Linked DNA regions of Oryzias latipes. The protein of the gene in region 1 binds, or shares a complex with, the protein of each later gene. Links are inferred from orthologs where the notes say so. Each region holds a gene or a part of one and is shown in the gene's direction. Other genes may lie near its edges.

Region 1 (3,166 bases):
CTCCTCCAACAGTTCTCCTCGGAGCAGATCGCCGGCCGGGATGTGAGGCTGCTGAGGATCAAAAAGGCGAGTTCAGCTGCTCCTTCAGAACATCTTTAACGTCTCTTTCGGGTTCTGACGTGTTCTTGTCCTCCAGGCCGGACAGCTGGACCTGTCCCTGGAGGGGGGGGCTGACTCTCCTTTGGGAAAGTTGGTGGTGTCATCAGTTTATGAGGGCGGAGCGGCCGACAAACACGGTCAGTGCCTGACCAGAGCCATGCAAGAGAAGACAGGAAGTGACACGCACCGACTTCCCCTGATGGAATCAGCTGACTCTGTTATTGTGTGTGTGTGTGTGCGTGTGTGTGCATGTGCGCAGGGGGGATTGCTCCGGGGGATGAACTCATGGCTGTGAATGGGAAGATCCTGCTCGATGCCTCATTGACAGAGGGACAGAACTCTCTGGCGCGGGCCTGGGGGAACGGCGGGGTACCGGTCCAGTTCTAAAACAGCAGCTCGCATGTTTCTTCACTGCAGGATGGTTGACGTTTTTTTTCCCCCCACCTCCAGGACTGGATCGATGTGGTGATCGCAGTTTCTCCTCCGAAAGACTATGAGGATGAAGTGTAAGCATTGCAGTCAATATTGACAGTCTGCTGAAACGCCGGCTGCAGCGGTGCATCATGGGTCGTTGGTGTGTGCGTGTGTGCAGCTGTAAGTCAGCGTCAGTCAGTCCTACCGTGAACAGAAAGACGTTTGAAGGCAGCGCAGCTCTGTACAGACACGGCTACGTCCTTCAGCACTAGTGCTTCCTCTCTGGTAATCACCTTCATCCTCCTCTTCGTCCCACGGGGGGGGAGGGGCGGCGGCGTGTGGTGTGGCACTTGTTTTTGTTTGGGCCGCTCTATGAGGACATGTGACAGTCTCTGCCATCAAACTCTGATGGTTCTGGTCTTGTTTTATCACCAGAAACGCCCAAATTTAAACGGGGCCGCTAAATCCAGGCCTAGTCCAGACCGGTTCTGGTCCTGCCGGCCTCCTGCCGCCTTCAGCAGACCTGCTGATAGATGCTGTTCCTCTAGACTGTTACATCTTCTGCAGCCCCCCCCCTGTAAAGGCATGGACCAGGTTGGTTTTTCAAGCCTCCACCCAGGTTTCTCCAACTTTTATTTGGAAATCCACCATCGTATTCAAAAGAAATCCCTCCTCTTCCACTCTTTTATACGTCGCTGAAGGCTCAGCCGCGGCGTCAACTCAAGCAGTGCAGGAGTAGGTCAGGGGGCGGAGCTTAAAGCTCAAGAGCAAAAGGCAAACCCTGGAAGGCGACGGCCTTCGGGAAGAGATCCTGCAGAGGTTTCTTCACCTGATTCTGTTTGGCTGGACGTTCACATCAAAGCACCGGAAAGGCCGAATAAAATATGTATTTAATGTTTTTTAGATTTTGTAAATCAAACTGAAGGGGCGTGGATCATATTTAGTTCATTCAGACCTTTTGTTTTATCTTTGAAAGATAAAAAACCAAGATTTAAACCTCTGATTTCTGCCAACATGGGTTTGAATTAAAAAAAACAGGATGTTGACAGAAAATCTTAATTTTTTTCTGTAAAAATTGTATGAAAAAACATTTCAGCTTTGCCATAAATTCAGCTTCAAGATAGTTTTCTCAAATAATCATCTGTAAATACTGAAAACATTCTTTTATTTCAAGGATTCTATACATATGTATATAGCGGTTAGTTATGCTGTTAATACTCTCAGCTGTGCAGACTTCTCCAAATTGTCGGCTTTCCCGCCTAAAGATTCCAAGAATGAATGAAGAAATTTAGAAGAAAAGTCTGGAAAAAACAGCTTTGGAGTGTGAATTATTGTGAAGCAGGAAAGGTTCCCGGACATCTCAACAAATGTGTGACGAGCTGCAGAAAACGCTGTCAGACATCTCCTTCCAGGAGAAAGCCTCTTCTTGAAGCGTGTCAGCCTTCACTGACTGTAGAAACTGTAGAAAAGGATGCGCAGAAGCAGATGGAAGAGGTGAGGGCGATCCACGCGCTGACAGGAGTTTTCTCACTGGAATCTGGTTCTAAGAGGGATTTTGAAGGAGTTTGCTGATCAACCGGCATGCGTGTGTTCTGTTGTGCTTCGTTTGTGGTGTTTGGATTTATCTGATTAGGGTCATTTTTAGACGTGAAAACATTATTTCTGTCTTTCTCCTGCAGGACCTTCTTCTAGTCTCGTCAGACGCAGTTGGAGGAGACCCGATTGATCCGCCTGGAGCTTCTTTCATCTCTTCTCTTGAAACGTCTGCTCGCTTCCACTTTTTCTCTCTCGGATCGAGCGTCTTGTCCTGCAGATCGACTCCGTCCGTCGATATTCCTCGCCACCGTCTCGGTGAATGTCAGAGGTTAATCCAGTCAATACTTTGTGTTTCTCACATGTGGATCCTGACGGTGGTGGAGCTCAGAGATGCTGATCTTTGCAAAAGTCAGTCAGTTAAAGGTTAATGAAAATCTGTGATCAGTAGAGCCTCTTCTGAGTCTGTAAGTGTCTAATAAAGGTCTGATTGAACAAAGAAGAAGCTTCTGCTCAGTTTCTGTGACCCCCCCAGAGGGACGTGTGTGCAAACACGCTGAAGCAGGGACAAGTCTGTACATTTTTGAACAGTTCCGCGGCTTTGGCGGCGTGTGAAGCCCTGCAGCCTCAGAGCACCTGGAACAAACATGTTTGTTCAGGTCAGCACGTCCGCAGAGGAGCTGCTGCCAACGAGGGTGGCCTTTGTTTGGCTCCATCTCCAGGGAAACAAAAGTGTCCATCCAGACGGGAGACGGTTGGTTTTCAGGAGATGAGGAGGCTGATTCATCCCGGCTTCTATTACAGTCCTGATGAGGGAGCAGCGACATGCCAGCTTTCACATTCTTCTATTGATTGTTCTCAGCTCTGCAGCAAATGTCATCACAAATTCATTCACACTGTCTGAGTTTAATGTTCTTTAATAATTGGAAAAGGTTCATTTTAATGGTCAGCATTACAGTTCAGGTCATTTTTATTCATACTTGCCTTTTGACATTCTTTGGAACTCTGCTTTAGACTTTGGAGGTTTGTTTTGAAAGAGTTTTACCAACAAGGCAGTGTCACTAATTCCCCAGATGGTCCCGCGTGGCTGTCTTTGGCAGCCTCATTGGGCCGTGATTGT
Region 2 (4,251 bases), on another chromosome or scaffold:
CAAATGGGAAACAAAAGCAATAAAGGTTATGTTTATACCAGTGTTTAATACTAAAACAATAATATATTATAATAAAATACCAAACTAAAAAAAATAAGCTGACAAATGGGATTATAATATAATTGTCTTACCATTTCTGTTGATTTAAACAAGGACAAATTTACATCTTAAATAATGCCTACCCTCATGATGAACTAGAATATCAGATGTAGTAAAACCAGCAATAACTGACCCTGCAATCTGCTTTTGGCCGTGTCCAGAGGAAAGAACACGCTCATGGCCGTCACACTCCCCTGTAAAACAGGGCTGCGTGAAAACTAACCCACACCAAACACGGGAATCATCTGGACTGAAAGTACATGTACATATAAATCGGGTTTTAGACTTTCGTTTCTGTCTCGACTTCTCACCGTCGCACCTGCCACCGCATGAACCAACGTCTCGTAGGACAGAAGGCCGACAGCCGAACCGCCGTTGTTTGACATCTCTGCGCGAGAGTTTCCGGTTAGAACACGATTAAAAACGGAATTCACCACAGTAAGTTAGGGGAGGATAGCTGGAGGTCAGTCTGATCTGTCAAGCGGTGAAAACATTAACCAAAGAGTGTTTGACAACCACAACTTCATGGTGTAGTTCAGAGTCTGAGCGGCCCGGAAGAAACAGCAGGGAGGATGATTGCTTTTGATTGGTCAAGCTCTGTTGACAAGTTCTTCTTCGGCCCATACTAAAAATTCAACGACAAATCTCTTTTGCCACCTAGCGGACAGAAAGATAAAATCCACTCAATAATTGTGCATTGTGTTGAGGCGCAAAATGTATAAAATAAAAATAGAAACAACTCTGAGCTATTATATATTTTGTCTACAACAATCAGTAAACATATTTATAATTCAGTAAGTATAATTATTATCGTTACATTTACAAAACATAAATAAACTTTGAAATATTTATCAGTAAAACTTGAATTGTGTAAGATTTAAAAGGAATGAAATGAGTGTTTACACGTGAAAAATGTGTCTCAGATGTTTCCACCTGTTTATGTTTTTATGTGTATATTTATCCATAAATGATACGGAATATGTACTCATTAAAGTTAATAATAGTAGTAATGGCGGGCGTAGGGGTGAGAATTTATAAAGCATTTACTTCTTCTCACTCCCTTTTGGATATTTCTTGTATATTTTCATATTTGTATTGACTTTTAAGATATATCTCTGGAATAAGACATTATCATCATCATCATTATTTACAAATTAATATTATGGGACTGTATTCAAAAAAAGAATGTCATAGCTGTTAGTTCACACCAGACATTCCTATGTGACATTGTGAGCTAAAAAGAGCAGCAATGATGAGTTGATGCAGCTGACAGCAGAGAACTGGACTTTGCTTTTGTTTTATGGCTCTGAGCTGCTTATACGCCCAGTGATCACTTTGTAGCTTGGATCTGCAGCGGCCGCTGTTCATCTTGCACTGTGGTGAGAGGACGAAAGAAGAGACACAAACAGATCTCTCTTTTCAGTTCTTTGTGAAGATGTCTAGGTACCACAAAGCAGCGGCTGATGGTTATTTGGACCTACTGAAGGAGGCCACGAGGAAAGACCTGAACACTGCAGATGAAGATGGTATGACCCCCACCCTCCTGGCTGCTTTTCACGGACACGTCGAAGCTCTTCAGCTCATATGCAGCAGAGAGTAAGGAATTTGTCTGTCACTTTACTCTGAAAATTTACATTTTTCACATTGTTTATCTGTAAAAATTATATATTTGAGGAGGGAGTAAAATTTACCATGAAAAAAATACTGTAAATATGATGGCTTCTGTTGTTCAAAACTGAACCAAGTAGATATATACACAGGTGAAATAAACAGAAATATTTGGCCAAAGGTTAAAAAGAAAAATTTTGACTGGTTTATTTCCTCATGTTATGAATTTTGTTTTTTTCCCCCAGCCTCATTATGAACAAAAAACAAATAACTCAATTCTCTCCCATGAGCTGAACCAAATGTTCAATCAGCCACATCCTTGATGTGAAACAAAAGAGGCATTCATCTATCCTCACCACCCCCTCTTCAAGCCTCTCACCATCTGGCTAAAATGTAGCATGAGCATCAGAGAAAATGTCTGTAACATAATTAATACATTTAACTTGCTTTGTCTTTAATGTCTAAATTAACTGAAAACACTTCTGCTTTTGTCGTAACCCGCAGGAGATAAAATTTATAACAAGGCGTGGTTGGAATACAGCAATCAAAACTTTTATTGCTGTGGCAAAAAGGTCAATCACAGGAGGATTTCCAATCTTAATAGTTTACCATTTAGCTTGACCTTTATTCCTTTGTGTTCTCTTGTTTATACAATTTGAAGAAATCTCATTTTTTGTGCTTTCTTGCCATAAAACCTGAGAATATCATTAACAATCAAGTTAGAAATGTGGAGCAGATGATTAGTAACTGGGCTGTGAATGGATTTTATAAGAAAACATATGTTCGGCCTCAGAGCCTCTGGGCTGTGAGTGGATTTTGTGAGCAGTTATTTTATAGGTTAACAACCCACAATCATGTGCTGGTTGCCATGGTCTTAACCAAGATATGTCAACATAAAATCCCAGTGAACTGAACCTTTAAAATGAAGTAATCTTTTTTATAAATGTACAACTTTAATGAAAAAGAGAGTGTTTGCAGTGAAAGTTGACTCTAAACATGCTAAAAAACAGTTTGGATTGTAATTTTTTTCCCTTAGCTCTAAACTTTTTTTTTACCCACACAAATTTTGCATCAGAATGACATCAGCCTGCATCCAACTTTTTTCTTTAGACTTATAATTTAAATTATACTGCGATTAACATTTGTGAAGCAAGACATTTTGTTAAAAGTATCAATAATATTAACATTCAAACATTTAAAAATTCCTTTTCCCTTTGTGTCACACAGAGGAGATCCCAACAAAAGTGACATCTGGGGGAACACACCGCTGCATCATGCTGCATCAAACAACCACATGCACATCGTAAGCTTCCTGGTCAACTTTGGCGCCAACCTCTTCGCTCTGGATAATGACTTCCACACAGCCATGGATGTGGCGGCGTCTCATGGCCACATGGAAATCGTGCGATTTCTGGATGCCGCTGCTTCGAGGCAGACCAATCAGAATTCGAGAAAGGTTGCCAACTTGAAGAAGGAGGCTCAGAAAGAAGCAGAGAGACGAGTAAAACTCTGCGAAAAGGTGAAGAAGAAGCATCAGAGTAAGATGGTCAAAATGAACAGAGGATCAGGCAGTTTTGATAATGAAAGCATGGGATCAGCTGAATCTACGGATGGAAACAAGATTGGAGTTAATGAGCAATTCTCCAAGCTGATTGCTGCAGAAAAAACTGGCTCCGTTACAGCCAGGGTCAAAGGTACACTGCAGAAGAGGCTTGGTATGAAAGACAAAGGCACTTTGCAGAGGCCAGGAGATCCGAACGTTATCTACGGCAAACAGGACAATGGAGCACCTGATAAGCCAGAATTTCTCGGAGTCTTCAACGAGCAGGACGAAGATATGTTAGAAGAGGAAATGACAAACCAGTTTGATGAGGACGGCGAGGAAGAATCAGGAAAAGTCCAGCAATCCATTTTCAACCGACCTGGTCTTGGAGGTCTGATCTTCATGAAGAAGATGAACATGGATGCGGAAGACCTTCCCAGCGGGAACAACGAAAGTCTCGGCTACCTTGTTCAGAATCAGCTCTTTGAGGGGGAGGAAAATGCCGGCGGTGATGGGGAGGTTGATGACGATGACCTTAATTGGGATCAGGACGATCTGGGACTTGATGATGATGAAGACAAGGAAAACTCTCCTTTAGAAGTGTTCTTGTCTGCCCTCTCCCTGCCACAGTTCACACTTGCATTTAGTCGAGAGCATCTGGACTTGGAAGCACTTCTGCTTTGCTCTGATGATGACCTGAAAAGCATTCGCATTCAGTTGGGGCCCAGGAAGAAGATCTTAGATGCTGTGGCTCGCAGGAGAAAAGCAATCGAGAGTCCTGGCATCATGAAGGACAGCTGCCTATGATCTGTGCATGTGTGTTTGTGTCACATCTGATACGCTCTTAGAAAGTTTCACTGACATGGAATCAAATATTTCATTTGACACTTGATTGTCATGTGGGTTAATAATGTATGTAATAATGTAAAGATGCATTCTTCTTTCAAATCTGTAAATGTAGAAATGTGCTAATCAAAAGTAAGATAGGCTTTTTGTTTACT

Evidence for each region.
Region 2: harmonin (region 1) and anks4b share a complex: the UniProt entries of both Homo sapiens proteins name them as parts of the IMAC/intermicrovillar adhesion complex. The link is inferred for Oryzias latipes from reciprocal best matches to the Homo sapiens genes USH1C and ANKS4B.

The regions. Positions count from the first base shown.
Region 1 is NC_019864.2:31,127,828-31,130,993, forward strand, and holds the end of harmonin, read left to right. Parts: intron 1-12; coding exon 13-66; intron 67-136; coding exon 137-236; intron 237-358; coding exon 359-468; intron 469-549; coding exon 550-605; intron 606-2,192; coding exon 2,193-2,205; 3' UTR 2,206-2,548; downstream 2,549-3,166. UniProt on the Homo sapiens protein: Anchoring/scaffolding protein that is a part of the functional network formed by USH1C, USH1G, CDH23 and MYO7A that mediates mechanotransduction in cochlear hair cells. Required for normal development and maintenance of cochlear hair cell bundles.
Region 2 is NC_019866.2:11,708,790-11,713,040, reverse strand, and holds the start of anks4b (ankyrin repeat and SAM domain-containing protein 4B), read left to right. Parts: upstream 1-1,418; 5' UTR 1,419-1,534; coding exon 1,535-1,695; intron 1,696-2,934; coding exon 2,935-4,057; 3' UTR 4,058-4,251. Other genes in the region: peroxisomal membrane protein PMP34, read right to left, coding at 233-293, 411-485. UniProt on the Homo sapiens protein: As part of the intermicrovillar adhesion complex/IMAC plays a role in epithelial brush border differentiation, controlling microvilli organization and length. Plays a role in assembly of the complex.